Pelodiscus sinensis: one gene and its partner. The protein of the gene in region 2 interacts with the protein of the main gene of each other region in a pairwise test. Links are inferred from orthologs where the notes say so. Each region holds a gene or a part of one and is shown on either strand. Other genes may lie near its edges. The genes, in order: CHCHD2 and LHX4.

Region 1 (15,782 bases), on a different chromosome or scaffold from region 2:
AGATGGAAGCAATTTCAGGAAACACTGCCCCAGATGGTAGGCTCAGACAACCCCATTGAAACAGGCTCACAACCCACTTTGTGGTCCTGACCCACAGTTAGAACTGCTGCTTTAGAGGTTTCTAAGCCAGTAGTTGCAAAGGTCAGTAGTAATATCTAACAGTACAGGCTGTTACTAGCTGCACCAATACACACAGCAGCAGCTGAAGACAACTGAACTGCATAGCACCATACAGGACTGGCTTGCTGCCATAAGAATATTGTTGGCCTTATGATGAATGTTTCCTGGTAATTTTTTCCCCTAAAATGAAGCAAGTAATCCATCCCCATTAAGTCACATACTTATTAGTCCTGCTGCTCTTAGGAGCCAGGATTATGTACATTGATGAACTGCACATTCTAGAAAAAAATCAGTACACAGTCTCCTTCAGACATGAGCTGTTTTGCTGTATTGATCATCATTTAGCTCGTTAAATGCAATAGCCATGTATTTGTTGGCATTAGACAGTTCCAATTAACAAAAGCCTCTGGATTTCCTACAGGAGCTTCCCCTGCCTAACCACCTCTCCCTATTTTATAAAGCTTGAATTAGGGATGTAATAGTATGGTCAATTAACTGATAACCTACGTTTTTGCTTAATGCTATATACTACACGCATTTCCTCCCCTTCCCCACTAGTAATTTTTTTAAGCAGGCTGACCAGCAGCCCAGCTGAGTCCTCGCTCACCCTGGCTCTGGGACCTGCCCTGCTCAGTTCTGGCTCATGTCAGGTCTGGGAGCTCAGACACCCCTCCCCCACCTCCAACAGACAGGCCAGGTGACAGCCAACTAGTCCACAAAGGGAGCTGGTTTTTCAACTGGCTCCCCTTGCAGCTCAGCTCCTACCTGGCACCCCACATTGCAGCCTCTGAAATAGACTATTCAATTAATCGATATTTAACATCCCTAGCTTAAATGATTAAGATGAACTGGGTATGTGAAGAGCAATAACCTAATGAAGCAGGACAGTTAATCCCTATAGGGACAAGTCTGGCTCTATTCAGTGATGTTAATTGCTTCAGTTGTTCCCAACTTGAACAGATGAGCTGTGGGCCTACAGTGTTAGTTTTCCTAGTTTCCAGATACTTATAGGAGACCAAGCTATGTCAAAGGCTATGGGGGTAGCTGGAAAGAAGAAGCTAACATAGTACCTTTACCCAGGCTGCTGGGTAGATGCAGACCAACAGGAAGATGTAATTAAATCAGGGAGAGCAGTTAGCCACTGAATTTACTAAGGGTTATGGATTTTCCATCAATGGTAGTGTAGAAATCAGAGCTTTTTTTAAAAAAAGCTTATTTGAAACAGGACTCTTTGGGGACATTCATAGCCTGTTTTACCCAGCTGGTTAAGCTACAGGATTACAATGGTCCCTTCTGACCTTGGAAGGTTTTAACAGAGGGAAGAGAAGGGAGAAGAACAGATGGTCATCAATAGGGGAATATGTCGCATTTAAAAACCTGTCCATACTATAAGAATTTGAGAACCGATTTGATTTTTATAGAACTGAGGCTCCCCCCCACCCTCCCAAGACTGATGTTTGCAGCGAGCTACATACATGCCATTCCTTGATATCATTTGGACCAGATTTTCAGAGTGTTCAGAACAAACAGTGGGAAGCATCCTTGAAATATGGTCAGCATGAAAAGGGCATGTTGTGCAGAGTGAGCTATCCTGAAAACAGCCCTGGACTAACAGACATAGAAGGGGTGTTTCCCTACAGATCTATTTCTATATCTTATTCCCACAGGAAGGGATAACTCTTAATTCAGAGACTCAGACACTTCAAACATTGAGATAATTTTATTTAGTCTTAGTCTCACATTTAAACAGCAATGTAGCCAGCAGAACAACTAGTTTTGATTAGGCCCCTTGAAATAGTTTGCCCATCTTCAGAATCTTCTAGTTTAAAACTACACTGTTACAATCAATCCAGCATGTTTATCAATGTGTCAAAAAAATCTAAAGGGACCTTTAAGTTGTGTCAAGGTTTGAGCAATCAGTTATGAATTATAATATAAACTAACACGATCTTACAGATAGCTTTAGACCTTAGACGTTTATTACTGAAGCATCTTTCAATTTTAGAACTTCAAATGCTAATGTTCAACTTCTTCGTTCTGTAGAATTTGATTAGGCTAAACCTGTAAATTAAACACAGAATTAGCAAAATTATAAATTTCCATGCTGAACAAACGTTTAACCCCCAGGCAGTGAACAGTCTGTGCTCAGGTGATTCAGGAAGACCCAATTCCTCAGTGACACTAGGCATCCCTAGGGTTTGGTGCACTCCCCTCAATAAAAGCCAGAACAGCTGACGTGGCTGAGAAACACCCATTAATAGAAATGCACCTTACACAGTTTGAATTTCCACTTTTGAGTCCACTTGTAATTTCAGACTTGCACATTCCACAAAGGAGGTAATGCATTAGAAGTTTTGTGCACTTTCAGTTCCATTCCAAGTGACTACTGTGGGATCTGACACACAACTCAGCATGGACAATACCATGCTGGTTCTTCTCCACTTTTGATACTGGGAAGAGGCACTTTGAGATAGCTACTTAATCTTATTGATTAGGTAGCTAGTTATTAAATCTGTACCAGACCCCACACAACTAAGCCAGCTACTCACCATTAGCAAACTTGCACTGCTTCAACACCTCACTGAAGCCCTCACACAGCTTAAGGTCACTCTGGTTCTGTGCACACTCCAAAAATTGCTTCATTTCGTACTGGCAGGGGGTGTACTGGCTCTGCTGCTGCTGATATGCAGGCTGAGCTGCTTGAGGCTCCTGAAAAAGAAGCCACAGTAGGACAAATTTTCATCTTTGAAAAATGAACTTTGATTATTTCTAGCTATACAGAACCTGACCAGCAGAGGAGCTATTACAATATGTATATTTCTACTTATTTCTTCCCTTGTAAAGATAATAGGTACCCCCTTGGAAGTTCTGCATCTTTCAAGTAGTAAGGGTAATATGCTTCCCCCCAAAATTAATGGAAGTCAGCCCATTAACTCAATCAGATGTAAGATTACATCAAGTATTTTAGAACACAAGACCTGTCCCTTGAGGGATTCAAAACCCAATACAGTAACACAAGGACTAGAGTACCTACAAAAGCCTGGCCTCAAGTATTAGTGAACAGAAGTCAATTCACATTCAATAAAACATTAAGATAATTTACTGTTTCTCTCATATATTCTTGAGACTGTGGAAAATGAACTTGTTTTGGCTTGCCAAAGTAAAGTGCCTGCATTTTAAAGAAAAAGGTTACCAGAAGAGACATTAATGAAAACTTGATCTGTCAGTCTCCAATCTGTTTCAGTAATATAAACCATTAGGTATGGAAGGAGAGGATAACGTGTTAAATACAGCAAAGCAGGATGGATAAAAATAGGTGTTCAAATCCGTTTTTAATTTATTTAAGTTAGATTTTATTTATTTTTAAAACAAAATTATCTTAAAATAAGTTACTACATTCTCAGTTGTCACAACTATGCAACATCTACACATACTAGTCTCAAAAATGAATTAATGGCTCTAGTCTGTCCTTCCTTGCTTCTTGAAAGTTCTGGGCTTTCAATTTGTTAGGTTGCTGAGAACATGTGGAAAGAGAAACAAGCTGGATAGGATTATTTTTGTTCTGTGCTCACGTGGTAGCAAATCTGGGCCACGCATGGCAGAGTAAGTTAAGACATTGTCTACAGTAGGGATGTAAAATCCCACTTAATTAGTTAACCAGTTAAGAGAGGGATCCCACCCACTGACCACAGACAAAGGCTGCCCTTATCTGTTAAGGATTAACATTCTTAGTCTCAAAACAGAAACAATGTACAGTAAACTTCCGATAATCCGGCACCTTTGGGACCCAGGGGGTGCTGGATTATTGGATATGCCAGAGTACCAGAAAGGGGGCTATGAAGGGTCAGGGGGAGGTCGGCAGGGCACCGCACAGCACTCCAGCTGCTCTACCCCCGGCTTCCGCAAGTCCGCCACTGGTCAGTTTCAGCAGCAGTGGACTTGGGGAAGCTGGGGGCAGAGCAGCTGGGGTGCTGCCGGGTTGGTACCGCAGCACCGCCCCCTCACCTGAGCTTTGCCCCATGGCTTCCCCAAGTCCGCCGCAGCTAAAACTGACCAGCGTCAGACTTGGGGAAGCCAGGGCACAGCAGCTCCAATTGTCCAGCTGGCTAGAGCACTTCCGGGTTCCAGTTGGTGCCGGACTATCAGGAGTGCCGGACCACTGGATGCCAAACAACTGGATTTTACTGTATAGGAAAGGATGGAAGCAGCATAGGAAGGAACTGTGGAGTGGACTGGGAAGTAAAAGAGAACACAAACAGCACACACACAGCTTCCTAGAGTCCCCTCAACTTTTGCCACAGAGAGAGTGTCATGGCTCATGTGTGTAAAGGAGACTATCTGGGAATATTCTGAAGAAACTCAATCCCTGGTTAAAAAAGGAAAATGTGTCAAGTGTAAGGCTAGGTGCAAGAAACAAACTAGGGACACAAAATCCTGGTTAATCAAGTTAAATGGTTAACGGGACAGGACAAGCCTTCCATGGGTGGACAACTGCTCTGACTATGCCAGGCCCACTCCAGGCCAGGCCTGCTCCAGCCAGGGCCCCACAGCCCACCGGTAAGCCATAACTGGTAAGCATCACCCAGTAAGGTGATGAATCATAAGGAAAACTGCTTACTAGGAGAAAGCGTGGCTGTCTGAAGAACATTGTACTATTGTTTGAAGAACTATATGAAGTCATATCAGTGAGAAAACTGATTTAAGTCAACCCACCCTTGATTAAAGTTTTAGCCTTAGCTGACCATTTTAATCTAGTTTTGACCTCTTCCCTTAACATTTTATTACTCTGGCAGCTAATCAAATCAAACCATGAGGGCATTGGATTCAACAGACTATGTGTCACACTCTCCTTTCCAAGTTTCTTTTTTTTTGGGGGGGGGGGGGGGGGGGAGGAGGAGGAAGGGAGTGTCAAGAGCCAGTAACTTCTAAACACAGTACACCCTCCACTGCCTGACACTAGTCATTTAAAATACATTTCATAAAAGGCATGGTACCAGGCAAAATAAACATACCAGAAAATAACTGTGCATGTGTCCCCATATACCAGCTCCCTACATTAAGCACTCAGGCCTATAATTTCAGTCACAAGTTATCCAATTTCACTCATAGCTGAGACTTAAAATACAGTGTTAACCACATACCTGATAAGTAATATCAGGCCTTGCAGCTTCAGAGCTGCTTCCTCCACCAAATCCTCCTGTCATTGCATGACCTAGTGTGTGTCCTACAGCTGAGCCTACTGCTACCCCAGCAGCTGTTGTAGCCATCTGTGCCATCAGACCAGGTTGCCTTGGTGCAGCAGCAGCAGAAGTCATTGCAGATGCAGGGGCAGGTGCCGGTACTGGAGCACGAGCTGCAGGGGCTGGAGGTGCAGCTCTCATTTGTGGTGCACGACTGAATGGGGGGTTGGGGGGGGGAGGGAGAGAAGAGAGAAATAAATCAATGCAAAAAGAGGCAACCTTTGTAAGAGACTTTATACTTAAAATCCTTTTGTGATATCTGTAATGCTTATGCCGCAAGCCTTGCAATACGCTACGGCTGTTCTCTAAGCAGAATTGTCCAAACTTGAGGATTAGGCCCCTTTTTTAGGGCTTCATGGAGACACAAGACTCCGCTCCCCTGCCCATACTATGAATGAATAGAAAAAAAAGCCAGGGAGCCACGTGATCATTCAAGCGCGGCGCAACGTCACAGCAGAGCCGGGGGGCGGAGGGGGGGGGCGGCGCCGCAAACCAGCCCACGAGCGGCTCCCTCAGCCGGTTAAACATTCACCGCCCCGCCAAGGCCGCGATTACCGGCCGCCACGTGCCTCGGCGGGGGGAGGGGGGGCTTATGTAACTCGGGCCTCGGCGCCCCTCTGCTCGCCCGGCTCCCGCACGCGGGCCCGAGGGGCTGTGACCGCGCCAGGCCGCAGGGGAGCGGCTGCCCCGCCAGGCCTAGGGCCCCAGCGCGACCCGCCCCCGCCCCCCCTCAGCTCCCGGGCCCGCCCACCTGGCCGGCGGCGCCATGCGGGACGTGCGGCTCCTGCTGCCCCTCGGCATGCTGGCGGCGCTGGGCGAGCTCGCGAACGGCGGGGACGGCGCCTGGCTTCTCCGCTGCACAGCCGGGGCCTGGCCGAGCGCTTTCCGCTTCCGCCCTCTTGAAGGTCACCGGGCCGGTACGTAATAGTCGCGCCGTGATTACGTCACGCGCGCGCCCGGCTGCTGGGCGGGGCCTCAGCGCAGCGCGCTCCCTCCTGCGAAGGCTGCTCCAGGGTGCGTGTCCTCGCGCCTGTGGCTGGGAGATTCTCCCGTGAGCCCCTGCACAAAGGCATGTGTGTGTGGAATAAATGTTGTGATGTGCAGTGAGGCATGTGCACCCCCAGTAAAACGTATGACGGCTGTGTCTAGACTGGCCACTTTTTCCGGAAAATCAGCCGCTTTAATGGAAAAACTTGCCCGCTGTCTACGCTGGCCCCTTGAATTTCCGCAAAAGCACTGACGATCTCATGTAAGAGTGTCACTGCTTTTGCGGAAAGACTGTGCTGCTCCCGTTCGGGCAAAAGTCTTTTCCCGAGAAACTTTTGCGCAAAAGGGCCAGCGTAGACAGCTCCAATTTGTTTTCTGCAAAAAAGCCCCGATCACGAAAATGGCGATCGGGGCTTTTTTGCGAAAAAGTGCATCTAGATTGGCCACAGATGCTTTTCCGCAAAAAGTGCTTTTGCGGAAAAGCGTCCGTGCCAATCTAGATGCTCTGTTCCAAAAATGCTTTTAATGGAAAATGTTTCCGTTAAAAGAATTTCCGGAAACTCATGCTAATCTAGACGTACCCCTGGTGCTAGCTGTGGGCAGTCTGCTGGGTGGCATTTGAATCTCTCCTGAGTGGCCACTCCAACAATCAGTTTACAGGAAACACTGAAGGGACCCCAGATGGTCAGAAGAAAGATGGTTTTAGCACAGCCCCTCGTCCTGGGTTAAGGTCCTATCTAGAGGCTAGTGAATGCACATCACGTGGCCCTGGTATTGGAAAGTCAAGCAGGACTATTCAATTAGTCTGAGAAACAGCCACTGAAAGCGAGCAGTAGGGAGTCACTGTCCATGTGGAGTTGATTTTAACAGTTAGTTATAAACAATCAGTTTTCATTTGGCAGAAGAATAACAAATTCAGTGGTTCTCTTTGTATAGCATCTGGTATAAAGGGGCTTAATTGTGATAGAGATCTCTAAGTGCTACCATAAATGAATTGTTAATTAATAATAGTAAAAGCACTTCACTTTAATGTTCTCACCAGTGCCACTGTTCAAAAATCAAGCCAAGAGAATTAAAAATAACAAATATTCAGAGGAAAGTAACTAGAGCCAATGCATACATTTAGTAGGAAAATCTTAAAACCATCTACAATCAAATTACAGTCTTGTGAATGTTGCTATATACAGCACATGTTTAAATATATCTGTTAATCAAGATCGTCTCATCTGAAGAAGTGGGTTCTGCCCACAAAAGCTCATTAGGTATTTGATTAGTCCAGCCGTGGCCAACCCAAGGCTTGCGAGCCACATTCGGCTCTCCCCCCGCCCCCCCAGGTAAGGTTGCCAGATGGCTTCAACAAAAATACCGGACTCACTTGACATTACATCATAATCTACATTACATCTTATTTAGAAAATACCAGACATTTATATTTTCTCAATTTGTTTCCCAAACAGAAAACTCAAATACTGGACTGTCCAGTTCAAAACTGGACACCTGGCAACCTTACCCCCAGGTGCAGCTCACAAAGCCTCCCTGTGGCTTGTAAGCGGCCCCTGCGCCCCCAAAAATGGCCCTCTCCTCCCAGGACAGGGGAGCCTTGCAGCACGGCCATGAAAGCTGCAGAATTAAAGATGGTGGCAGGAGCTTTTTTTTTTTTTTTTTTTTTTTTGCTTGACCAAACATGACCAGGGCTCCTTTAAAAGGGGCAATCCTTTTTGGTTTTGCTCAAGAGCTTTGCCCTGGCTCTTCACGCTGGATCCACTGCTATCTTGAATCTTTGCCCAGAATGGGCTGGCCACCCCTTGACTAGTCAGTAGTCAACTACCTGATAAGCCTAGGCTTATGAGAAGCAGCAAGGGGGGGGAAGGGGAACAGGAGCCAGTTTAAAAGCTGGCTCCCCTCAGCACCATTTTGGCCATGTGTGGGGGGGGGGGGGGGAAGTTGGGGAGAAAGACAAGAGTCACGGCAGTCCCAGAGCTGGCGCAAGCCAGGACGGCTCAGTCCTAGCACGCGCTGGCTCCAGGCTCTGCTGCCGCTCTACATTTTAAATGTAGTAAGCCCAGCAGCTCTTACTACATTTAAAATGCAGAGCTGCAGCTGTCCTGGAGTTCGGGCTGTTCAGTCCCGGCTTGTGCCAGGTCCAGGAGCTACACCCACTGTGACTCTGCAGTGTAAATGAAGTATGAGCCAGGCTGCCTGTGCACCCAGCTCCTTCTAAATTTAAACTGCAGAGCCAAAGCGGGGGTGGCTCCTGGACCTGGCGGGAGCTGGGACAAAGAGCCTACCCTTATCAACTAATTGTGTAGAGACAATACAATTTGTATCAACTATACGATTAGCCAAATATCTATTTCTGAACATCCTTACTATGCATATATTTTTGTTAAGGTGCTACACGGCTATTTGTTGTTTTTAAAGTTACAGACTAAAACAGCTACCCCTCTGAGACTTAAGCCAAGTTTAGTTAATGTGAAATGTATTAGTAGTAGACAAATACTACTTTCCAAAACTTATTTGGGTATAGGTTCACACTCAGAGCACCCTGTAATACAAAACCTGTTCACAGTTGTTTAGCTAAAGTCCAAAATGTTTTTCTCTTTTAAATGGTGATTCGCATAGCATGTGTGAGAAATTATACTGTTTGTTTAAATGTATTGCTATGTTTAAATTTTCATCCTTATTAATTCATTATTTGATCTTGTTCTCTAGAACATGCATCAATTCAATCCAACTTTATATGACTGTGATAATAAACAATCAGAATGAAAGTGGCAGACATCTTACCCCTCCATCTTTATTTCATATCTCACTGCCCTACTTAACTTTCTTCCATCTTTACAACCAGTTCCCCAAAAAGCATACTTGTGTCATTTTCACATCCAAAAAGAGACCTACTATCAATTAGATGTCTAGAACATAAAAAAATCTCAAGTATTGATGAATAAAACTAGGACAATGATTCCACACACAGTTCATTGTAGAATGGGAATCTTATACAAATCTTAAGTAGAGAACATGAACTTACAGGCCCCAACTCCCCAAAACACCCATGATCAAAAAAAATCAAACTCGTTTGACTGACACTCGTGTGACAATAAAAGCCAATTTTTAAAAAAAATAAGCCAATTAAAATGTTTTTATTTATACATATGCACACAGCTATCAAATACAAGAAAGACTTTATGTACAATTTTATCAATATATATAACCAATCATTTAAAAACACCACCAATCTTAAAAGCACAATTAAAAGGGTATACTTAAAATAACAGACATATAACTTACTGTTGGTACAACACTTAAGATCAATAGAACTTGAGAACATACATTGTTTCAATTTACATTGTGTATTTGACACCTCTTCATATGTATTTTAGCCTGTATTTTTGGTCCTAGATCTTGGGAACATTTGTGCTCAGTTTTACATGCCTGTGTAAATTGCTCAGTGAGACTACTCATGTAGTTCTTTGGAGCAAATAATCATATCTACAATACCTGTTCCAGTTGTGAAGTAGCATTGCATTGGGCAACCTAGGATAGCGAATGGGCTGCACGAGTGTTCCACCTTCATCTAAGCGTTTAATTACAAGACTATTGTAATTAGACAGTCTCCCAGGCTAGGGTAGTTTTGCTAACTGTGCTTCTGTACCTAGAATTTGCAGGGTGTGAATTCAACAGGACTACTAAAGTATGTGTCTATGGACCTTACAAAAGGATCTCCTAGCCAGGAACACTGGCATCAATAAAGCTTCACATCCATATGAACAATCTGACTGTAGAATTGGTGTCTTCAAATGTAGTCAGACAGAAACCCTGGCTTCAGTCTTGTCTCTAAAGTGCTTAGAATACTGTTGGCATTATAATAAAATAACACAAAATGAGGCCAAAAAAGTACCAACAACCTTGGTCTTATTGAAAGAAGTGTCACTTATTTTTCCCCACAAGACATGGTATTTAAACAGTGCAACAGGTGAGGCACAGCATTCCAAACAATGCTCCCTTTTCCTAAGAGGAACAGCATTTAGACTGTGGGGAGGTGTTTAAAATCCGGTCCTCTATTCAGCCTGCAAGAAATGGACACCAAACATTGTCTCTTAGTTACATGATCAGACACTGTCTGAGATTTTACTATTTCATTTACAATCAATACAAAACCAAGAATATATAGAGTAGGGATGTGAATGTGCACTCATGTACACAGTTAACCAATGAAACTGAGCTCACTGGTTAACCCTCAGGGTTACACACATCCCCTCCCCATCTCCGCTGCCTCTGTATTAGGGCGGGAGCCGGTACATGCTCTCCTTTATCTCAATAGGCTGTAATATTGTCATAACCAAGATGATCTGGGGCAGAATAGTTTTGTTAACTGCACTTGTATATCTAGAATTTGCAAAGTAAGCCGAATGAATTGTAGCAGCACTTTGACTGGATGCAGAAGGAGTGCATGTCTTGGACGATGCTGTGTGCAATTAGCACGCATCCCACTCAATGACAGTTTTAGGAGGGGAGGGGCAGCAGCAGCTGTGCACTCTGGAGACAGCTTGCTTTTCATCCCAGTCCCTGGCTATCAAGGACTCTCACACCTGGCCCCCGTACCAGCCCAAAATTCCAGCCTTGATCATGCTTCATGTGCATCACTTTAGCAATACCCATAAGAAAATATGTGGATGAAAACCAGCAAAATCTGGCAACCTGTTCATGAGTAATAGTAAACAAATGGTCTTGTGGGCCACAGGTTGGACCCTGATAAGCCACTGGTTGCCCACTATTGGGCCGTCATTGGGCCTGGTCTCTAAGCAACTCTCTCAAGGTCTAGACGCTGAAAAGGAACATTAGGGTCCTTGGGTTGCTTTAGCTGCGGGGGGAGGGGCTGCCCTTGGTTTGGGGCCCCCCCCGCAAGACAGGAAGGGGGTGTGCGGGGCACGCGAGAGAAGCTCGTGTCGCGCTGTCTGCAAAGGGATTTCAGGGGTGGGGGCCCCCCAAGAGTCCCTGGGACCTCCCGGGCCCCGAGCGTAACAACTCGCCCCGGCGCTTCGCCGCCTCCCGGCCTGGCTGGAGCGGGGGCCGCGCTGCTCCCGGCGGCGCCGCTTGGCCTGGCTGTTGCGCAGCTTCTGGGCGATCTTCCGCTCGTGGCCGGCGGGGAGGTAGCGGTTGGTGCGGAGCTCCCTCTCCCGGCGGCTGCGGCCCTTCCCGCCCGAGCCCGGGCCCCGCGGCCCGCTCCACTCCCGCACGTTGTACCACTCGTACGGCTCCGCCTCCTCCTCGGGCCACACGGGCGCTGCCGCCTTCGGCCCGCGTCTGCGCCTGCGCCGGCCGCCTGGCTCTGCCATGCCTGCGGAGCCCGCCGCGACCTGAGCCTGCCCCGCCCACCGGGGGGGGGGGGAAGTCAGCCGGCTGCGCTATCCTATTGGCTCCGCGCCTCTAGCTCACTACAAACCCCACCCCCTCCTGTGTCGTCATAGACAATGTCGCTCCCCCTTCTCGGAAGGTTACCGTCCTCTGGCCTTGCAGGGTTGCTATGGAAACAGAGGGCGTAGGCCAAAGAATCCCCTTTTGAATTCACAGGCCTAGCTGCAAATAGGAGCATGCCTGCCCCTTGTCACTGTCTATATGCAAGGGGATTGGTCCTGCCCCCCACGTCTGTGCGCAGGGTGGAGACATTCATACCTAAAGGGGTGTCACCTGTCCACAAATCTATATCTGCAAGGGGTGGTCCCCTGCACCCCAGTTCTGTATGCAAAGGGAGCGCTCATGTTGTCTATCTAGGGGAGAGTATTGCCCCCTAAGTCTATACACAAAGGGGACCCGTGTTATCTATCTCTCCTGTATGCAAAGCAGTGTTCCCTCTGAGATTTTCCATCCATGAGCCAAGTGAATGTTGAGGTCACGTGCACTGGTTTGGATGTGTGCCACTGTGGCACCCAAGTTATTAACAAATAGCTTATACATATTTTTAAAATAGTGATAGAGATGCAGCCGTGTTAGTCTGGTCTAGCTAAAACAAAAGACAGAACTATGTAGCACTTTAAAGACTAACAAGATGGTTTATTAGGTGATGAGCTTTCTTGGGCCAGACCCACTTCCTTAGGTCAAATAGTGGAAGAAAATTGGCACGACCATATATACCAAAGTGATACAATCAAAAAAAGTGAACACATATAACTGACAGATCAAATTTTAGACTCACCCCCACTCTGTTCTAAAATTTGATTTTTCAATTTTATGTGTCCTTTTTTTTTATTGTATCACTTTGTTATATATGGTCGTGCCAATTTTCTTCCACAAATTGATCTGAGGAAGTGGGTCTGGCCCACGAAAGCTCATCACCTAATAAACCATCCTGTTAGTCTTTAAAGTGCTGCATAGTCCTGTCTTTTGTTTCAGCAAGACCAGACTAACACGGCTACATCTCTATTACTATTCAAAATGGGAATAGTTACTCGCCAAATTAGTTAATTCTCTTGCAAAAAGCTATACTGAAGTTCAATACATCATTAGTTCAATACATCATTAGTTTACACAGTTCTGTCTTATATTTTTAAAATGTTATGGAAGAAAGAATATTAAAACAAGGGATAATTAACAAGGTGCATGACTTTAAATGTTTATTTAATATGAAATCAAATCCAAACAAAATAAATACTGCAAAAACTGTGTGTCTGTAACCCATGTCTGGGCCCTTTTAAATCGCTGGCCCTCGGCAATTGAGCGCCTCTGCCTCACTGTACTTGTTGGTGGGCCTGGAGGTGGTGGTGAGATACAGAACAATACCAGCCAGACACACTCAGGTCAGCCTCAGGGGGCGCAGTGGGGAGCCGGCCTTGTTCATGCAGCTTGGCCGCAGGCAGAAAATTGCAGGTGTTGCAGGGACTCGGGCCCAGGGTGACCCATGGTCCTTGCATCCCTCGGGCCTTGGTTGCTGCCACTGGGGACCCCTAAATCCTGGCTGCGGGCATGGAATACTTCTAGCAAGTGAGACATTCCTGCTGCTCCCCGGGAGACTCTCCTAGTGCAGAGAACCCAGCTTGGTCTCCCTTGCTAGATAGCACCTCCCCTCCCCTGTGGGGAGAAGGTGAGACCTGCCCTCCCCCAGATGCGCTGCTTCATTGGCAGCCTGTGTGTAGGGTAGAGGCTACCCCAAGCAGCTCCCCATGGGGTTGGCTGTGAGTCCAGATAAGTAATCAATTCAGATTTTGTACCTAATTTCCAGCTCTCTCCTCTAACTTGGGCCTATAGTGATTCCCAATAGCACATCCTCCATAAATCAGACATCATTCAAAAGTTGGCAAGCAAATATATATTGCATTCCACCTGGAATAACAATTCAGGACCCAATCCTGTATCTGTTGAGTCTCTAATTACTCTCAATTGATTTAATGAGAGCTGAGGATGCAGAGCACCTCTTAGGTTCTTATGTGGTTGAATTGTCACTAACTATACATAAAAATAGTCTTGAATTGAGACTTTGTATTATTTGGGGACTGAACTACAAAAATGTGACTGTTGCCAGTCAAGAGGAAGCATATTTCTGTTCCCCCACTTTTCACCTTTCTCTCTTCATTGCAATCAGACATTTTTTTCTCCACGCTAGTAGAAATTAGAACCTAGATAGCAACAGACATTTATTTCAATTTAAGCCCTTGGTAGGGAGCCAGGACATCCTTTTTAAAATTTTATTTTTATGAGTCTTGAGCACAACATCTATTCTCCTTGCTGCAATAATTTCATAGTGAGTTTCTATGTTGTGATGGATAGTAGTAGTACTTGCAAGCACGCGATGACTAAAGGGTTAAACTCACCCTAGGTAAGGGTGTTGGCAGGGAGCCAGAAGACTCAATGGGATACAGTGCTGAAATTTAAATATATACCTGCTGCTGTTTCTCTTTCTGTGAGTTTTTTAAGTTAGGAGCTGGAGGAAGCAAGATGAAGTAATCAGACAGAATTACTGTGCCTACAAGGAATATTGGGCATGGGAATAGACTGGGCCTTGAAAGTACAGATCAGTACAGCTCATGAGTAGATAGAGAAATTTATGTTTAGTTGAAATTAGGGTATTTTTCTTTGTTTTGTTGTTTGGTTAAACTTCCCTGTGTGAAATCCAAGTGCCTTCCTCTTCCCCCCATTCGCTATGCCAGAGATGCCATATTTTCTTTGTGTTTTAATCTGCTTTTTTCTCAGTTGCTCTGAAATACCTAGCAACTAAATATTTTTGTTTTGTTATTAAAATCACCTTCTTTTAAAGTGATGATTTGAGTCTTGTGTCCTGAAAAGTAACAAGGGGTCTCTGTGTGTGCGCCTACCTAAAACTGAAAGGTCAGCTTTCAGAGACTGCAGTTTGTTTTCTGTGGCTTTTTCTTTTTTCAAGCTCTCTTGTGGTAAAAGAGCTTAAGGTATCCCTTGGGAAAAAGTTCAAGTGTTTTTTCCTGGTTTTCAATATTTTCATTCACTTGATGGTGGCAGCCTATCTCCCAGAGTCAGTGAATCTGTGACTCTGGGGAGCTTTTTTAGCAGAGCCTATAAAGGTAAGGTATTTTTAAGGTCTCTTGCAGGCCCCCACCTTCTGTACTCAGAGCGCCAGAGTGGGGAACAGCCCTGAGATATGTGTATTACTTTTGTTCCATAGAACAAAAGAGGCACTAATGGCATCATTTCAGTGATGAATGCCACCACTGTGTTGCTTTGTTGTTTCCCATTCCTCAGGAAAATCTACAGAGGCTCATATTGTACTAATTTACTGTCCTATTTGCTAATGTCAGCAAGACCAGAAGGCTCAAGAGAGCAGGCAGATAGGTGGGGTACGATTGTACTGTGGGGCTGTCTACACTGGGAAGGATTGGCAATGAAAGTGCTGTTGACATGCAAAAGTAGCCAAAAGTGAAAAACCGTCAAACTGCTTTTTCTGCCTCCCATTGTCGACATTTCATATACATATTGCTAGAACCCTCTAAAGAGCAAAGCAATGTGGGCAAACATCTCGTAGTTCAGTGTTATGGGAAGGCAGAGCTGATCTCTGAGCTTCCTGGATTCCCTCGTAGCTCTGTGAGCTCTCCATGCTGAGGAATGTCAAAATAGCACAGCAATCTCCCCAGCCTTTTGTTTCAGCAGAAGTAGTCTGTCTGCTGCTATATTCCTCCTAGCAGGGGAGAACAGGAGCATTCCAATGATATTTTCTTTGTTCTTCAAATGGAGCAGCTCAATAAAATGTCAGATACTTCCCAGAGTTTTGAAAGGGGAGGGGCACATACCTGCAGGGCAGCAGAGATCACAAAACACTGAGCACAGCCATCAGGGCAGACATCATGGGATACTGGTGGAAGCTATTTCTCTCGACAAAACAAACAGCAAAGTTTACACTGGCTTTTTGTCAACAATTAAGGAAGGGGAAAAGACAAAAGTCTCTCAGAGGGCTGGAAGTTTTTGTCACCAAAA
Region 2 (15,789 bases):
GCGCGTCAGTTTCATGTGGCCACCGACCGCCGCGAAAAGCGCAGCTGGTGGCGCAGGAGCCTGGTTACTCCCCCTACGGAGGGGGGACTCCGCAGGGGCAAAGAGATTCACTGGATCCCCGCACCGCTCCCCCCCCCCCCCCACGCTCCCCAGCCTGGATCACCTCCCTGGCTAAGCTACCGCGTTATTTCAAACCCATAACGCCCAACATAGCAAATTGGAAATCAGCGTATTCCCCTTCACAAGCCGAGCTATTTCCAAATAACCGGCCCGTTATTTCGAAATAACAAGCTTGGCCGTGCGGAGGCGCTGTCTTCTTATTTCGAAATAACAAGGGGGTCGCTCCGTTCTACCCGTGAGAAAACGGGGGAGGGGAGGGCCGCGCGATGCGGAGCCCGAAGCGCTGGCTTTTCCGTGCCATCGAGTGAGTGGCAAAGTCGGGGATCGTGGGACCCGCCTCTCCTGAGCCCTGCTCCCCTGGCCCTGTCCAGCCACGGCGCTGGGGAAATTAGACTCCTCCTCGCGGGGGGTAAACGTGTAAACCAAACCCCGGCAGCGGCGGTAAGACCAAAGGAAAGGGCCCCGGAGTGTCCAACGCCAAGAGCGAGGGCTGACGCGGCTTTTAGCCCACCCTGTTCCACCTCGAGGCCGTGGGTTCCCGGGACAGCCCATCTACCTGGATCTAGCCAGGGGAGACACGTGGGACTTGTCCGGCTTCTCTGTGCTCGGGTTGGGGTCCCGATTCCCAACCGCAGCAGGGAGTTCCGCCGGTTCCGCCCGCGCGCAGAGCCCTGCCAAGGACTTTCCCGGGAGTCTCTCGCCCACTTTCCCTTTCTGACCTCAGCGCTGCGGGGAGTGGTTTTTACCGGGGGAGGGGAGGCTATGTGGAGAGGCAGCTTTCTCCGGGCCCCAGGTCTGGGTCCAAGGCGGAGGCAGGGTATCCTGTCAAATCCGCTAATCGGCCTCGGGAAAATACCCCTCTCCTCTCAATCTCCGGTCCCTCCCGGCCTGATGCTGGGAAGTGAATCCCCAGCTCTGTGGCTGCCCGACAAGGCGGGGAAGGCAGCAAGCGAGGGGGAGCCTTGGGGCAAACCGGCCGATGCGCGTTGGAGTTTCTCGGCTCGGCCTCCCGACTGGCGTTTGCTCGCCCCGCCGCGGATGCAGCCACATGTCAAGGGAAGCTCAGCAAAGCCGAGCGGCCTCGAGCGGGCCGCACAGCACCGGGCCGGGCCCGATCCTGCCCCAGAATAACCCCCGGCACCGCGAAGCGCCCCCAGCATTAGCGCGCCGCAGCGCGATCACCTGGCCCCTGGCGAGCCCCCGGCAGAGCGGGTGGGTGCCCGACCGAACAGGGCTCCGTGGGTGCCCGAAGAACACAGTTGTGCGCCGGGAGAAAAGCAGCAGAGTCCTTTCCCAGCCGGACCCGACACTCCCGGGGAAGTTAGCTGGGGAATGAGGCGCACGGGATCGAGCCCCGGGCAGGGCGGACAGGCGCAAAGCGCTGGCTCAAGGCAGCTGGTCAAAGTCTGGGAGCGTTTGTCTGTGGGGCCGGTTTGCGCCGCGGGTAGGTTCCCTCTTCCACTAACAAATAATTTGATCCACGCCGGAGCGCGATCCTGAGCCGCGCCGAGAAAGCGCTGGAGGAGGAGAGAAATCCCCGCAGCTAGGCGGGGGTGGGGATGCCTGCGCTCCAGCGGCCGGGGGGGAATCTGGCCTGGAGGGCGGTGTGGACGTAAGACGAAGGTTCTTTTCTCAGCCCGAAAGAGTCGGGGATCGGCGGGCCAAGGAGGGGAATTTAACAGGGCGAAAACGCCAGAAAAGCGCTTCGGCGCCGGTTTGTTCCTTTCACCTTCCCGGCTAATTCAGACAAAATGCCCCTCTAGGCGCACGGGCTGTGCGGAAAGAGACGCACCAAACAGGCGAGAGATTCCCGGATCTGGACAATTTTCCCCCACCCCAAATCCTTCCCGTTTCGTTTATTTCTTCCAGCTTGGAACCGGGGTTTGGACGCTGCTCCCCGCCCGGACACAAGACTGGCGAGGAAGTGGGGAAAGGTTTGATCCGGCGGGAACGCGCGGAAGAAACGCGAAATTAACAAGAGGCGAGGCAGGGCGCAAGGAGGCGGAAATCGCTGCTCCCCAAAATTCCGGGGCACGTTTCCGAAATGCAAAGGGACGGTTAGGACAGAGGACTCGCCCTCGGATGAGCTAAACCCGATCCGGCTCGGGATCAAGTTCAGACCAGGACAGGTCACGTTTACACACAACACATGAGACTTCACAAACCAAACCAATCGGTTTTGCATTTGCAACGTGGACCCACAAATATAGGGCTACCACCCCACACGCCTCCTACAGCGCCCCTTGAAAAAAAGGACGCGTTTCATCGGTGTTGATTTCTTCTGGACTTAGAATTGGTTCCGCATAAACCCAGACACCACAGGCGCAGCGGCGGTGGGTGCGTATGCAGACGCCACATTCTGTAGCGATCGATTAATGTTGCCCAATAAACGACGCATCGACGAACAAATACGGGACTATCGCTACAAAATCTCCCCACGCGTCTCCACTTCAAATCACCCCTCTCTCTCCATGGATCCGGGTGTAAAAAACGTTTACACGGATCTGTGCGCCAGGAGACACCCGGGGACAATTCGAATGCTCTTTCGGTGGGTAGAAATTGTTTGTCCGTCTGCGTGGGCCGGTCGAGATTCTCCGGTTTATTGAGCGGTGTCTCCTGCCGCTATTGCATCGCAATCCGCTGGCAAAGATCTCGATGCCTCCATTTTCTTCGCCCCCAAAACCAATTTCCACCCACCCGCTCTCCCTGCCTCTGGGGCGCAATATCCTTTTGCGCTAGCCGGAGGGAGGAAAGTGCACTGGGCGATGGCGGGGTCGGGGGAGTTTCCTCCTGCGGGGAAACAGGGAAATGCCCCTTTCTCTGATCTTGAGTGAGTGGGTGGCATATGGGGCACCTGAAGGGCGTAAATGTCACACGGGATCCCCAGGACAGCGGGGAAATCAGAGCCCGCACGGAGGCCTCCGCTGTTCGCGCCGCCGGTGTTAAGCGAGGCCCGCCCCTAGCCAGCTGGGCCCTCGAATTCGAATCGGGATCGAAGGGAACCGCCTGCGGGGAGCGACTCCGGGACCAAACTCTCCTCACACTCTCTTCGAGGGCAGTGCCTGGTTGTTCCGTGGCCTTTCAAGCAATTCTGCCCGGAGACCACTGCCCGGAGCAGCCCCGGTTTTGCCGCCTGGAATAAAGAGAAAACCGGGCGCGCAACTCCCAGGCCGAGGAAATCGGCGTCGGGCGCCGCTTCTCACGGGCAGCAAAAACTATTGTCCGCCAAGAACAATTAAAAAAAGAGCCCCGGGGCTGGTCCCTACCCCAGCAAAGGTGGGGGGTGAACAATCTACGGCAAACGCAAAGGAAAGGGGGCCGGGGCCGAAATTGTCCAGCCTTGCTCCGGCTGCGTCCGGAGGCAGCCAGGGTTCGCTGGGAAGCAAAGATTTCCGGGAGACCTTGGCCCTTATGTAACCCAGCCAAACGCAAACACCCGCCCGCCCCACCGCGGCAAAGCGGAACGAAGGCGCTGGAAGAGCCGGCGATGGAACGCGGCGGCCCGGATCGCTCCGGTGCGCTCCCTCGGCCTCTCTGGCTAGCCTGCCAAAGCCAAAAGGGCTTTATTTGGAGGGGAGAAAGGATATGGGGCGCTGCTGTTGCAAAGCGGGAAATTCCGAGGCTCCGAAAACCCAAGGGATGGAGCGTTTCTCCTCCCCTGGAGCGGGCTAGCTGGAGGGGATCCCTGCTGGTAAAGTAGCCAGATCCAGCCAAAGCCACAAGTCAGCAGGTTCGGGATTAAATGCCCGAGTCCTGCAGTCCCCCAGTCTGCAATGCCCAGAGCCGGGAAATGACTCCACCGGAACGAACTGATCCGAGGGAAGAGGCTGGGAGCGCGGGCAAGTTCAGCGACTCGGCCAGAACGATCGGCCCCTACGCGCACGGGCAAGTTCACGGCCAGAGATGCGCAGGAAAAACAAACAAACAGATCGAGATTTGTAAACGCGCGTCCATTGGTCCGCATGGAGAGGGGGCTACGAGGAAAGAGAATGGGCATAACCTGGATAGGGGATGGCATCCCTCGGGACAGGTCTTCTATTACCTGTGGGTACAAATCTCTCCATAAACACGCGAAGAATTGCGTGCAATTTCCGTACATCTAGCCGTGTCTCCGGGGGAGATTGTATCCAGACGTAACCAAAAAGCGGGCTCGATCGTCAGTAACTGGGCCGAAGCTACAGCGGGATTTGGGGGAGATTTGACGCGCAGCCTGGCCCTGTCTGACCAAACGCAGCAGACTCCTCGTTGTGAACGCAGGCGCCTTGACCCGAGCGATCCATTGGGCACATGGCCGGGTCCCGGTCGTTCCCTCTCTCTCGCAATTCGGGAGACTGGGCTGGAGGCGGATTTAAAAACCAGTGCGGGGAAGGGAGTGTGCCCGCGAAGGGGGGATAAAAGGAGCTGGGGGCAGGGGGCTCTGTGCAGCCTTTCAAGCGAGCCCCAGTTGGCAAGCGGGGCCAGCGTGTTCCACCCCGAAGCAAAGGGCCGGTCCAGCAGTCCAGCCTGCTCGGATTCCGCTGGCCCAGACCCGGACGGGAGATTCCCTGCCTCCCCTGGGTGCGCGCTAGGAAGTTGGCCTTCGGCTGGGGCGGGCTCCGCGAAGCTTTCCGAGACAAGCCCCCTCACTTTTCCCGTCACTGCGCCCCGCACGCCAGCCGGCTCCTTCCCTGTCCCAGACAGACCCCGCCCCAGAGGAGCCACGCTGGGGATCCGGATGGCCGGGGAGCTGGAAAGCCTCCCCCGCCCCAGCGGGACCCTACCCCGCAGCCCGGGCCTGGAGGGAGTAAGCAAAAGGATCTCCCCGCGCATTCTGCGCCCAGCAGCGCGCACGAGCCGCGCAGCCAGCGCCAGGCCACAGACCTGCGGCAGCATCTGCGGGAAACTCCTGAACTCTGCCCCGGCGCCCGGCGGATGGTCCCAGCGCTGGGCAGCGGCTCCCGGCAAAGCCCGCTCGGCCACGGGGGCCGGGCAGAAATGCCCCCGAGCCGCTCTCCGCCTAACCCCAAGCCGGGCTGCGGGAGCGGGACACGCCGCGCGCGGAGCCGAGCCAGCCCGGGGCCAGCGCAGCCGAAGCGGCAGGAGGGGCCCGATCCGCGCGCTCAGCCTTGGGAACAGAGCAAGCGGCGCGGGCCGGCGGCGAGCGAAGGGCGATCGCTGCGGAGTGTGAATGTAAATACCCCTGCCCAGGCCCAGAGATACACAGCGGGCACCCGTGTGTGTGTGTGTGTGTGTGTGTGTGTGTGTGTGTGTGTGTGTGTGTACACATACACAACATACATCCCTGCCCAGGCCCAGAGATACACAGCGGGCACACAAACAGAGCCCCGGATAGGTGTGTGCGCGCGCGCGTGTGTGTGTGTGTACACACATACACAACATACATCCCTGCACAGGCCCCAGAGATACACAGCGGGCACACACAGAGCCGTATAGATGGTGTGCGTGGGTGTGTATGTGTGTGTGTACACACATACACAACATACATCCCAGTACAGGCCCTATACTCGAGATACACAGCTGGCACAGATACAGAGCCGCGAATAGACGGTGTATGTGTGTGTGTACACACACACATATACACAGATACACAACATAGATCCTAGTACAGACCCTAGAGATACACAGCGAGCACAGACACAGAGCCCCGTATAGATGGTGTGTGTATACACACACACACACACACACACACACACACACAATATACATCCCAGCATAGACTCTAGAGATATACAGCGGGTATAGATACAGATACCCCCCCACACACATCCCATATATTTATATAATACAAAGCCATATTGTTATGGAATATGAATATAAACATCCTAGCACATACATAGATACATCAGCAGGCATAGATATATCCCCGTATATATGTTGTGTGTGTGTGTTTGTACACACACACAGATAAAACATATATACAGTACATAGCCATATTGTTATGAAATATGAATGTAAACATATTAGCATATCCCTATACATACATCAGCGGGAATCGAGATAGATCCTCATATATATATGGATCTCATATATACACATGCTATATATATGTGTGTGAGTATTTATGTGCACATACATTATATATATTATACACACACAGACACCCAAACACCAACATATATATGCGCAAGTACATACACACACATACACACGGGTTAATACATGCTCACCCCTATACACTACACGAACAGGCATAGCCACACATCTGCATCTAGTGTAGCTCTAGTCTCGATTTAGGGTGCTCGGCGTGTTCCAGGCCCCCCCGCCGCACACAGCCTGTGTCTACACTCCCGGAGCGGAGTCCCAGCTTAGCCCGGCTGACACCGGCTTCAGTTCCAATTATTTGACAAAACACTCGCCGGGGATCTCCCCTTCCCCCTGCAAGCAGCTCCCCCACCTGTATCCACGAAGAAATCCCCCGGCGGTGACTTGCTCTGGGGGGTCCCCATCTCTAGCAACAACCTGGGGAGATGGGGACACCGCTCTCCGCCCTCTGCCCGAGAACTCCCGTCTGCGGGCGGGTTCCCAACTTCTCCCAAGTGGATCCGGTGGCCGGCGCAGCATTTTGCTGGCCGCCAGGAAGACTGTTTACTTCCCACGAGCTGCCTGGCTGCTCCCCTTTCCCAGCCTGCGCCCCCACTCTGCGGAGCCCCCCGGGCACTTCCTTCCCGCTCCTGCTTCTCGCCCTCCGACTAGTTTTATAAAACAGAGGCAACCCGCTTTCCCAGCCCTGGGCAGGAATCTGTCCCCAGGAAGATCCCCCCCGTCTTACCTTGCTGACACACACACTTTTTGGGCCTCTCCCCAGCTCACAGTGCCGCTCACCCCCCTCCCTGCACCACGGAGGCTCCTCTCATTGCCAGTTTTCTTTATTATGAAATCGATGAGGGGAAAAAAAATGCCTTACGTTGCATTGGCACGCCAAGAATCTCTGGAAGCCCCTTGGCTGAGCCTTCTGTGGTGAGCGCTGCGCTTTGCATCATTTTATTGAAACACGGGGGGAAAATAAAAACAAACGGCCCGTTTATCTCGCTAGGAAAATAAAATAAAATAAAACATGAAGTTGAAAGTACAGTCAGGGCGGATCCGTCTGCACGTGCAGGGGAACCGGGGCGGCCCTGCTGTAGCCCTGGTCTGGCGCAAATCCCTTTCGGTGCTTCTATCCCGGGTTAGCGTCTCCTGGCTTAAGGGGGTGATGCTGCAGCAGCTCTTTTCGCTGGAATGCCGGTCCCCTGAAGGCAGGTTTGATTCATTCACACTGCAGGGAGTGAGCGTGACGTCACTTTCCGCAGGGAGGCCCCGCCCCCTCCAGCCAATCCCCTTACATCATGTCAGAAGTTGGGGCGGAGACAGCTCCAGCCTAAGGACAGAGCGCAGGTAACGAATTTTGGGGGCGGGGCCGCCTGGCGGAGTGGGCGCGGCCTGCGCCTTTGTGGGCGTGGCTACCTGGCATTCAGCTCCTCCCCTGCCCTCAGAGGGCTATAAAAGGCAGCGGAGGCAGCAGGTGGCTCACAGCTGCCTTGTCCTGCTGGCTTTGCGCAGCCCTCCTCTTTGGTCCCAGCGTCTCTTAACTCCGGGGGATACCCCCGGGGACAATCGCAGCCCACCTTACTGTCCCTCGTGTCTCTGTATTCCTGCTGCGGCATTTCAACCCCCCTTCCCTTCACCCTGCGGCTTACCCGCCCGGAGCTCAGCCCCATGCAGCTACCCCGAGCCACCGGACCCTGCAGAACCTGCTGCCTTCCTGACGAAACGCTGCTAGACATCTCGCCACCAGCCCGCCGCTCGTTCCGGCTGGGATTTGCTCCCGTGGAGTCTGGAAGAAAACCAAGCTCTTCCTTTCCACCGGGCTGTCCCCGTTTTGCAGCGCTCCCCTCACTAAAGCTTCTCGCTCCCTTTCTTCTCTGCCTGCTCTTGTCTCCCTTCTAGCGGCTGATCGAGCTCCCCTTTATCCGAATAGTTCCCGAGGTTTTATTTCCCCCTTTCCCCACGTCGCTACTGTGTCGCTTCGCAGCCCACCGCCTCGCGGAACAATTCTCTGGTCGCTATTTCTCACCGCGCATTGGGCTCTTGTTTGAAATGAGCGCAAGTTGCGTTGTCACAAGCCTCACCCGCGTTGAAATAGCCGCGTCCGTGCCTGGGATGCGATCCCTCCCCTGGCTGTTCGTTGTCACTCTTCCCCCCTTAAAAACGGTGCTAGTCATCACGGCCGTATTGGGGCTTTCAGGGCCGGGAGCTCCCAGACTGGCGCAGAAACGGCTTTTAAAAATAGCTTTAAAGTGTAAACCAATTATTTCTTCCACATATACATTAGAACGCCATTTTTAAACATATCTCCAGTGTTAATCTATAAAACAATATCCTGTATCATAAAGCCTCAGGACCCAGGCTGGCCCCAGCCCAGGCTACGCATGGAGGCTGGACGACTGATCAATTTCATCTAGTTAATTTCAATCATTACCCAGCCAAACATCCCCCTCCCCTCGCGCAACGCTGCGTTTGGAATCGCGTTGCTTGTTCGCTTCGGCGGAGACCAGACCTCGCTACGGGCACGGCGGGGGCTGTGTCCCCCTCTTGCTTCGCTAGTCATTGGGGGGGGCTGGCTCGACTCCCCCCCCCCCTCCCGGGAAGGGGTCCTAAGCAATACAACGCTCCACCTTAAACACGGCACTGTGTGCTTTAGCTCCCCTCCCGTTGCTCCTAATGGCAGGCTGAGTGCGGGTTGGCGGGGGGGGGGGGGGGGGGCCTTTGGCAGCGCGTTGTAGGGGTGAAGGGATAACAAAAAAGTCCCGAACTAATGCCCGGCTGCCTGGCCTGCCCCTGCTGCGTCTTGGGCCATCCCCCCCCCCGGCTCCTGCCATGCAGCGCCACGCCGAGAAACGTCCTTTGCGGGAGAGGCGAGAGCAGGGCTCGGTTCGTGGCGACTTGTTGCCATAAAACCAAAGATCAGGCGCCCAGACCGGCAGGACCAGGCGTTCCCCAGCCTGATCAGCTGGCGGGGCGCAGCAAACGAAAAGTAGCCGCCCGCCCTGCTCGGGGAGGAACGGACGCCTTTTTTGGGGGGGTTAGCAGCGGATTGGACAACTCCCGCCCGAAACCGACCAACCCACCCCCCCCGCCGGGGTTTGAACCCGCCCCAGCAGCGCCGGAACGAGCGTCCTTCGCTGTGCCCGGGCACCTGGCCGTTCCCACCGCAAGGGACAGATCCTCAGATGGCATCGGGGTCCTCGCTCGGCTTGTGCCGGGGCTGGGCCTCGCCTGGAAGGAGCCCGCGTCGGATCCGCCAGCCAGTCCCCACGGCTGTTAGTGATCGTAATCCGGAGGCGTTAGGAGACACGCGGAGCGGGCAGGGCACGAAATCACAAGCGCCGAGAGCTGCGTCTTGGAGGACGCGGCGCACCCAGCATCGGGCAGGAGACTTTGAAGACCCACCTGGCCGGTACGTTCGACATCGGCTCGCCCCGGGGCGAGCAAACACGGAATAGGCTGGGATGTAAAGACGGGGAGTTACTCTCTGGAGTGGGTCAGAACCGGCCAGATTTTGCCGGGAGAAATAAAGAGGGCAGATTTGGATGAACACGCAGGTCTTTTTAAATGAATTGTTTAACAAAAAAAATCACAAAAATATCGATCCCATGTTTAGACCAGCTTGAAAGCTGGCTGACAATTTCCAAATCTTGACCAAAAAAAAAAGCCATTGAAATATCAATATTTACCTCACTATTCCCCCCCCCCCCCAACATGACCATTTTCCCATCATCTCTCTTAATATCCTTGTTTACCTAAACCAAGTACTGGGGACCAGGGAGCAGAGAGTGACAGAAACCACCCCAGGAACAAGGTGCGGGACACAAGTCCCAAGAGGAAGAGCCAGATAATTCACATATAAGTAGGAAGCCAGCCCCAGTGATCCAGGAGGTTCAGGAGTTCACGTGGGAAGTTACAAAAGATGCATATGTGTTTTTATCGTAGGTATTTATTTCATGTTCATTGCTCGTGGGGTTCTTTAATCAGGACATTAACTATAATAATAGCTCTGTATCACTTTTCATCTATGACAAGAATCAGAGGGGTAGCCCTGTTAGTCTGAATCTGCATAAACCATGAAAGCATAAGCTTTCGCTCCAATAAATCTGTTAATCTATAAGGTGCCACCGGACGTCTTATTTTTCATCTATGGGTCACCAGATGTTTTACAAAGGGAAAGAAGAACCATCTCAATGTGCAGGTGGGGAAACTGAGGCACAGAGCAATTATGCAACTTCCCCCAGGCAACGGGGCAAGTGGCAGAGCTGACACTTAATTTCTAGTGGGCAGATCCCTCAACGGGGTCCCAATCCTGATGACTCCCAACATGCAACATCCAACTTCCATGAGTCCAGGGGTCAGGTGGCAACCACCAATTCAACAAAAATAGCGTGTGGTGACAATGGCAGTTAAATGAAGTGGAGGAAGGAAAAGGGAGCCCTGGATGTTAAAAAGAAACAAGAGAAATCACTCCAGTGGTTGCACAAGAGAGTTTGGAGATGTTTCATTGCTGGAGAGCTTCTGTGTGTGGTTACACTGGTCCCCATTATGAGAGTAAGCACACCACACTTCCCCAGTTCCCTTTTAATTCAGGGGGAGGGAGAGAGGAAGGTGACAAGGGGTGAAGTTAATTCCTGAAGAAAAATCATTGACCTTTAGTGCAGTTAAATACCAAAGGTGAATTTGGTCCACCTGATTTAAAAAGAGTAGGGAGAAAATGCAGAGAATTTCTACACAAGGAACCTAGGGCATTATATATGTGGGGTTCTCAAACTGGAGGTTGTGAGTGACCCCTCAGAGGGCTGGGAGATTATTACATGGCGGGTTGCAAGCTATTAGCTTCCATCCCAAACCCCACTTCATCTCCAGCATCCATCACAGTGCTAAATATTTAAAAGGTGTTTAATTTGTCAAGGGTGTCACATTCAGAGGCTTGCGGTGTGAAAAGAGTCATCAATGCAAAAGTCTGAGAACCACTTGCGAGTTAGCTAGTGGAATATCGGCATAGAAGAGGTCGCCACATGTTGACCTTTTCCTGTGACATAATAGACAATATAACAAGGAAGAACAAAATGCCAAAGATAGTGGGAGGAAAATGCCCCAAAGAGTTTCTTCATTGTAGAAGACAATAGAGACATGCAACATCATTTCTATCAATATTATTAATACTTATGCGCTAGCACCCGCTATGTGGGAGGTTACTATCAGCGATAGATTATGTTGGTGAATTGCAGAAATCAATGCAGCAGATCCACACCTACTTAGTGACATCCCGGGATTGCAGATGGGGAACATCTCAAAAGCTATGTGTGTGTGTGTGCATGTGTGTTTTGGGATTCCTATGGGACATGGCTCTGAAAGATGCAGGGAGATGGCCTTTATGTTAATTCCGTAGCATGCATCCACTAAACTGGTACGAAATCAGACTATTCCAGATGAGTTCAGCTGGATAAAGTCTAGGAGAAGGGCTGGGCAGGAGAAGGAAAAGCCTGTGTGTGCAGGCAGTTAAGGAGAGATGGATTAGATGCATAAACAAACCAGCAGGAACTACTAAGAGGGCAAGGGGGAGATGACAAACCGAGTCTGGGAGAACCCCTTCTATGGAAGGAGGAAAGAGCTAGTCTGCAAAAGAACTCGCTCAGTGGCTCTGGAATTGTCTCATCAGGGAAAAATACACATGAAACAGGTGGTAGCTGAGGGAGGGAGAGGGCAGGAGAGGAGGAAGGGTATGGAGTCAAGTGGCGGCCAAGCATAAGAGATCTTAAAGTTTAATAAATGTTGAGTATTCACAGGTATATGGGTTTTCCCCAGCATGTGTTCCTTATTTTCCTCAAAGTGAACACAGGATTAATGGGTACACACTTCTGCTTTCTGCATTGATCTCCTTCCGTGGCCCTGTGAGGCAGATCAGTGTCATGAGCCTGATGTTTCAGATGGGGAAACTGAGGCACAGAACGATCCAGTGACTCTCCCAGGCTTGCACAGTCAGTCTGTGGCAGAGGCCAGAGAACCCAGGTCTCCTGAACTCTAGTCCAGTGCCTTGAATCACAAAGACCCTTTCTCCTCTCTAAATTGATCGCCAAATCCCTGCTAGTAGAAATACAAACCCTTGCATGATGTAGGATCTAAGAGTACATCTACACTGGATGGCTGTTTCAGATACCTATTTCGGGATACCCCGTGACATGAGGGTTAAGGGATGGCTCGAAATAGCACTTTATTTTGAAATTTGGCGCTGTGTAGAAGTGCCACATTTCAAAATAAATTATTTTGAAATAGAGTCGAGATAAGATACACAATTTGCATAGTGCATCTTATTTCGAGTTTAGGGTGCTGTGTAGACACACCCTTAATGACCCTTCCTATTCAGTCAACTAGAGGAGAATCCATTCATATTTCCTAATCCTCTGTTAGCAGAAGCACAGTTTAAAGGAATGCTAACTCTAGCGTTACATAAGTAGGCTAAGAAGGAATAGATTTATATCGGTAAATGTGGATTAACATTGATTTCACCACACACTACTCCTGCAACAGGCGTATGGCTTCAAATGCAACTGTTGCAGAAATCCAACAGGAGTAGTACATGCACAAACCAACAAAAATATTTCCGTCAATAATCACCCAAATTTATAGACAGGCAAAGTAAGAAAAATGCAGCTTGAGAACTTACTAAAGTTTGATTTAAAGCTATTTACTCAGCATCTACTTGTCGTTAAATAATTGTCTGCTCCCTGTTCACCAGAGTTTCCTGCAACTGTGACAATTTAAATAGATAAAAGTGCTTAAACTCTTCATTTTGAACAGTGGTTAAAAATTTAAATAGATACGATTTTTTTAAAAATTCATAAAAAGTTTTGCAAAGTATGTACAGAAAAATAACACCTCTTATTGCAAAAAAATTTTTTTTTAAATAAAGTGCATTAAACAAGGCAAATAAGAATGCTGCATTGCATGTGCAGGCCACTCCAGTAGGAGTCTGGTGGTGAAGATGATAACAACAGCTCTGATTGTTAGAAGAGGTTAATTTAACTGCAGGATCAAGATGGAGTCCTCCAAAGCTTTGCAAAGAACTCCACCCCTAAAAGATATTGAATGACAACACCTTCAGCCAGTGAGGCCTGGGCAGAATGATGACATCATCAGACCTCCTCCTTCTGGCTGTACATAACTGTGGGAGCTCAGTACAGTGTTACTCAGAAGTGCTGGAGGCCCCAAACACCAGTTAAGTTAGTGAGAGCGGTGCGTGGTTGGCTCTGCTGAAAGTCAAGCCCCGAGGAAACACCGAGAGTCGATTCAGCTTTGTGAGCTCATGACATGCACCACAGCCAGGGCCTCCCAACTCAAATCTGATGACGCAAAGAGGAACCGAGGGACACAAAACAGGTCCGCATTTCAAGGCTGGTGGTGCTATTTAACACCAATTGTTGCTGACTTTCAAACGAGTTAAATTGCCCGACACACAATATACTTCCCCACCCTGCAGATATGGGGCAGGTGTTGATGTGATTGGTGAATTTATCACAAGCCTCTCCTTGTCATAAGGGTATGAAACTCATTAGAGCTGGGACGATGAACTTTATTGCCTGGACCCAGTGCCCTGACCTGGGTGAAGAAGGGTACACCCCCCCGATGCGCGACTGGGGTCTAGATACTGTGATTGTAGGAGTCATTGAGGCACTCATCTGCATTCTGCCAAGTAATAGGGACATGCAAATGCAGACTAGCCAAACTCTGTTGGACAGCCGCCTACGAATAATAACTACTCGTGAGAGCTTGCCTTTCTGACGGGCAGGCACATCGTCCAATCAGCACACAGGAGTCAAACCACCACCTCTTCCAGGCAGTCAGCGCTACAGGCAAATCTCTCAGAGAATTAAGCCGCAGTCACGGAAAGGCCATGGGATCTCTGTGCTAATCTAGGTGGACCCAAGCAGCAGTCTTCCAAGTGCAGGGAGATTTAGAAGCCAGGTGGGGGGAGCAAACCGCCATCTTTCGTCAGCACGGTGGGAATGATGCTCCAGCCTGGCCCGCCCCTCAGTCGCAGTAAGACCCCCTCCCTCAGACAGACACACAAACCACTTGCGGTTCAGAGAACGGCCGCCTCTTGGGGACAAAGCGGCGTCTCCGGGCCTCGTGCAGCCGTCTGACGCGGGGCTCTCAGTACAAAACAGACAGCGAGGGGACTAGAAGGCAGATTCCTCAATGCAGATGTAAAAGCTGGGCTCCGAGCACAGCACAGCACGCAGGCTCAAACCTGTCTTCCTCCCCTCCAAGATGCCCGTTCGCATTGGGAACCCGTGTCCCTAATTATTCCAGGGCTGGTGGAAGCCAGCTCATTCTTCTTCGTCTTTCTTGCTGTCTGGAGAACAGCTCCCGCCCCGCCCCCTTCTCCTCGGGGAATTCCATTTTCATTCAGTTTTCTGCTTTGCGAGATTGATATAGACCCCCTGCCCTGGTCCATATTACTCATCGCAGCAAAGAAAAAGCAGAGAGGGCAATACAGAGCCAACCCTCAAGGGAGGTTCCTTCTTCCCCGGGGGAGCTTCTAGGAGCTGGCCAGTGAAAGAACATGATCTCTCTTCGCCCTTGTGTCTGACTGTCCAGGCCTTCCAGTCATCTGTCATCCAGTCCTCTACCCCCCCCCCCCACCCTGTCTTTTGTCCCTTGACCTTCCCCTCTGGCCATCTGGAATGCGCACTCTTATTTTCCAGTCATCTGCCTGGCACAGCGCTGCGACCAGGACACAGGAAACCTACAACACAGGTGGCAGGCTGCGGAGAGCCAGAGAGACAAGAGATCTGGTTCTGGGGCTGCTGGATTCACCAGCAAACTCCCTCCTTTCCAGCAACACTAAGGGTTGGTTGTTGGTTGTTTGGGGGGATCCCATTTCCAAATTAAGCACAAAATCGTTGGAGGATTTGCTTTGAGTGTTGAAAAAAAGAGCAGTCGATTTTGTGGAAAGAACCCGGCAGTTTGTGCAAAGTAAAAAATCTACCCCCCCTGCTCAGGAAAGCGTTGGCTTCACTCAAGAGAGGAGCAGCATCTCACGCTGCAGCAAAGACACCTGGGCATTCAGAGACGTTTTCTCCTTTCTTTAACATTACCAGGTCTGCAGCCACCAGCCCGCTGCAGTAGCAGAGTCGGGAGGCCGACCCCAGCCTGCCCTTATACTTTACAAGGTCACAGGGGTCCTCTCTGGTGATGGCGATTTTAAATAACTTCATTGTGTGTGAGAGAGGCCGCTCTTCTGGTTCTTATCCATCAAAACCAGCTGGGCATTTAACTGTGGGGTGGGCACTGCCTGGGGAGTTGGACGGCTGCATCCTCGCAGGTGTGGTGCGGACACACCCCGGAGAACTCCTCGGCGGTGTGGAGCTAGTTACACATGGTTCCATCAAGGGAGAAATTCACCCCCATGCAGGGCACCAGCCCAAGGGGGCACTTTCTCTGCTCCACAATGGAGCTATGGCAATTTGTACCAACTGAAGATCTACCCCCAGGGCCTAAATAGTCAGGTGGGACTTAGGAGGTGCACAGTCTCTCTGCAAAGGCAGGAATTTCACCTATTTGGAGCTACAGTGTATCATTTTCTAGAGAGTTGCCCTTCCCTAATTTTTTTGGAATTATTAAAGAGGTTTGCATGAA

What was found.
Region 1: the proteins of LHX4 (region 2) and CHCHD2 interact in binary tests that used the Homo sapiens proteins (3 or more experiments, as listed by UniProt). The two-hybrid records come from large-scale screens. The link is inferred for Pelodiscus sinensis from reciprocal best matches to the Homo sapiens genes LHX4 and CHCHD2.

The regions. Positions count from the first base shown.
Region 1 is NC_134731.1:20,150,602-20,166,383, reverse strand, and holds CHCHD2 (coiled-coil-helix-coiled-coil-helix domain-containing protein 2), read right to left. Parts: upstream 6,294-15,782; 5' UTR 6,162-6,293; coding exon 6,112-6,161; intron 5,515-6,111; coding exon 5,262-5,514; intron 2,830-5,261; coding exon 2,670-2,829; intron 2,182-2,669; coding exon 2,171-2,181; 3' UTR 1,826-2,170; downstream 1-1,825. UniProt on the Homo sapiens protein: Transcription factor. Binds to the oxygen responsive element of COX4I2 and activates its transcription under hypoxia conditions (4% oxygen), as well as normoxia conditions (20% oxygen).
Region 2 is NC_134719.1:59,249,186-59,264,974, forward strand, and holds the start of LHX4 (LIM/homeobox protein Lhx4), read right to left. Parts: upstream 7,340-15,789; 5' UTR 7,101-7,339; coding exon 7,025-7,100; intron 1-7,024. UniProt on the Homo sapiens protein: May play a critical role in the development of respiratory control mechanisms and in the normal growth and maturation of the lung. Binds preferentially to methylated DNA.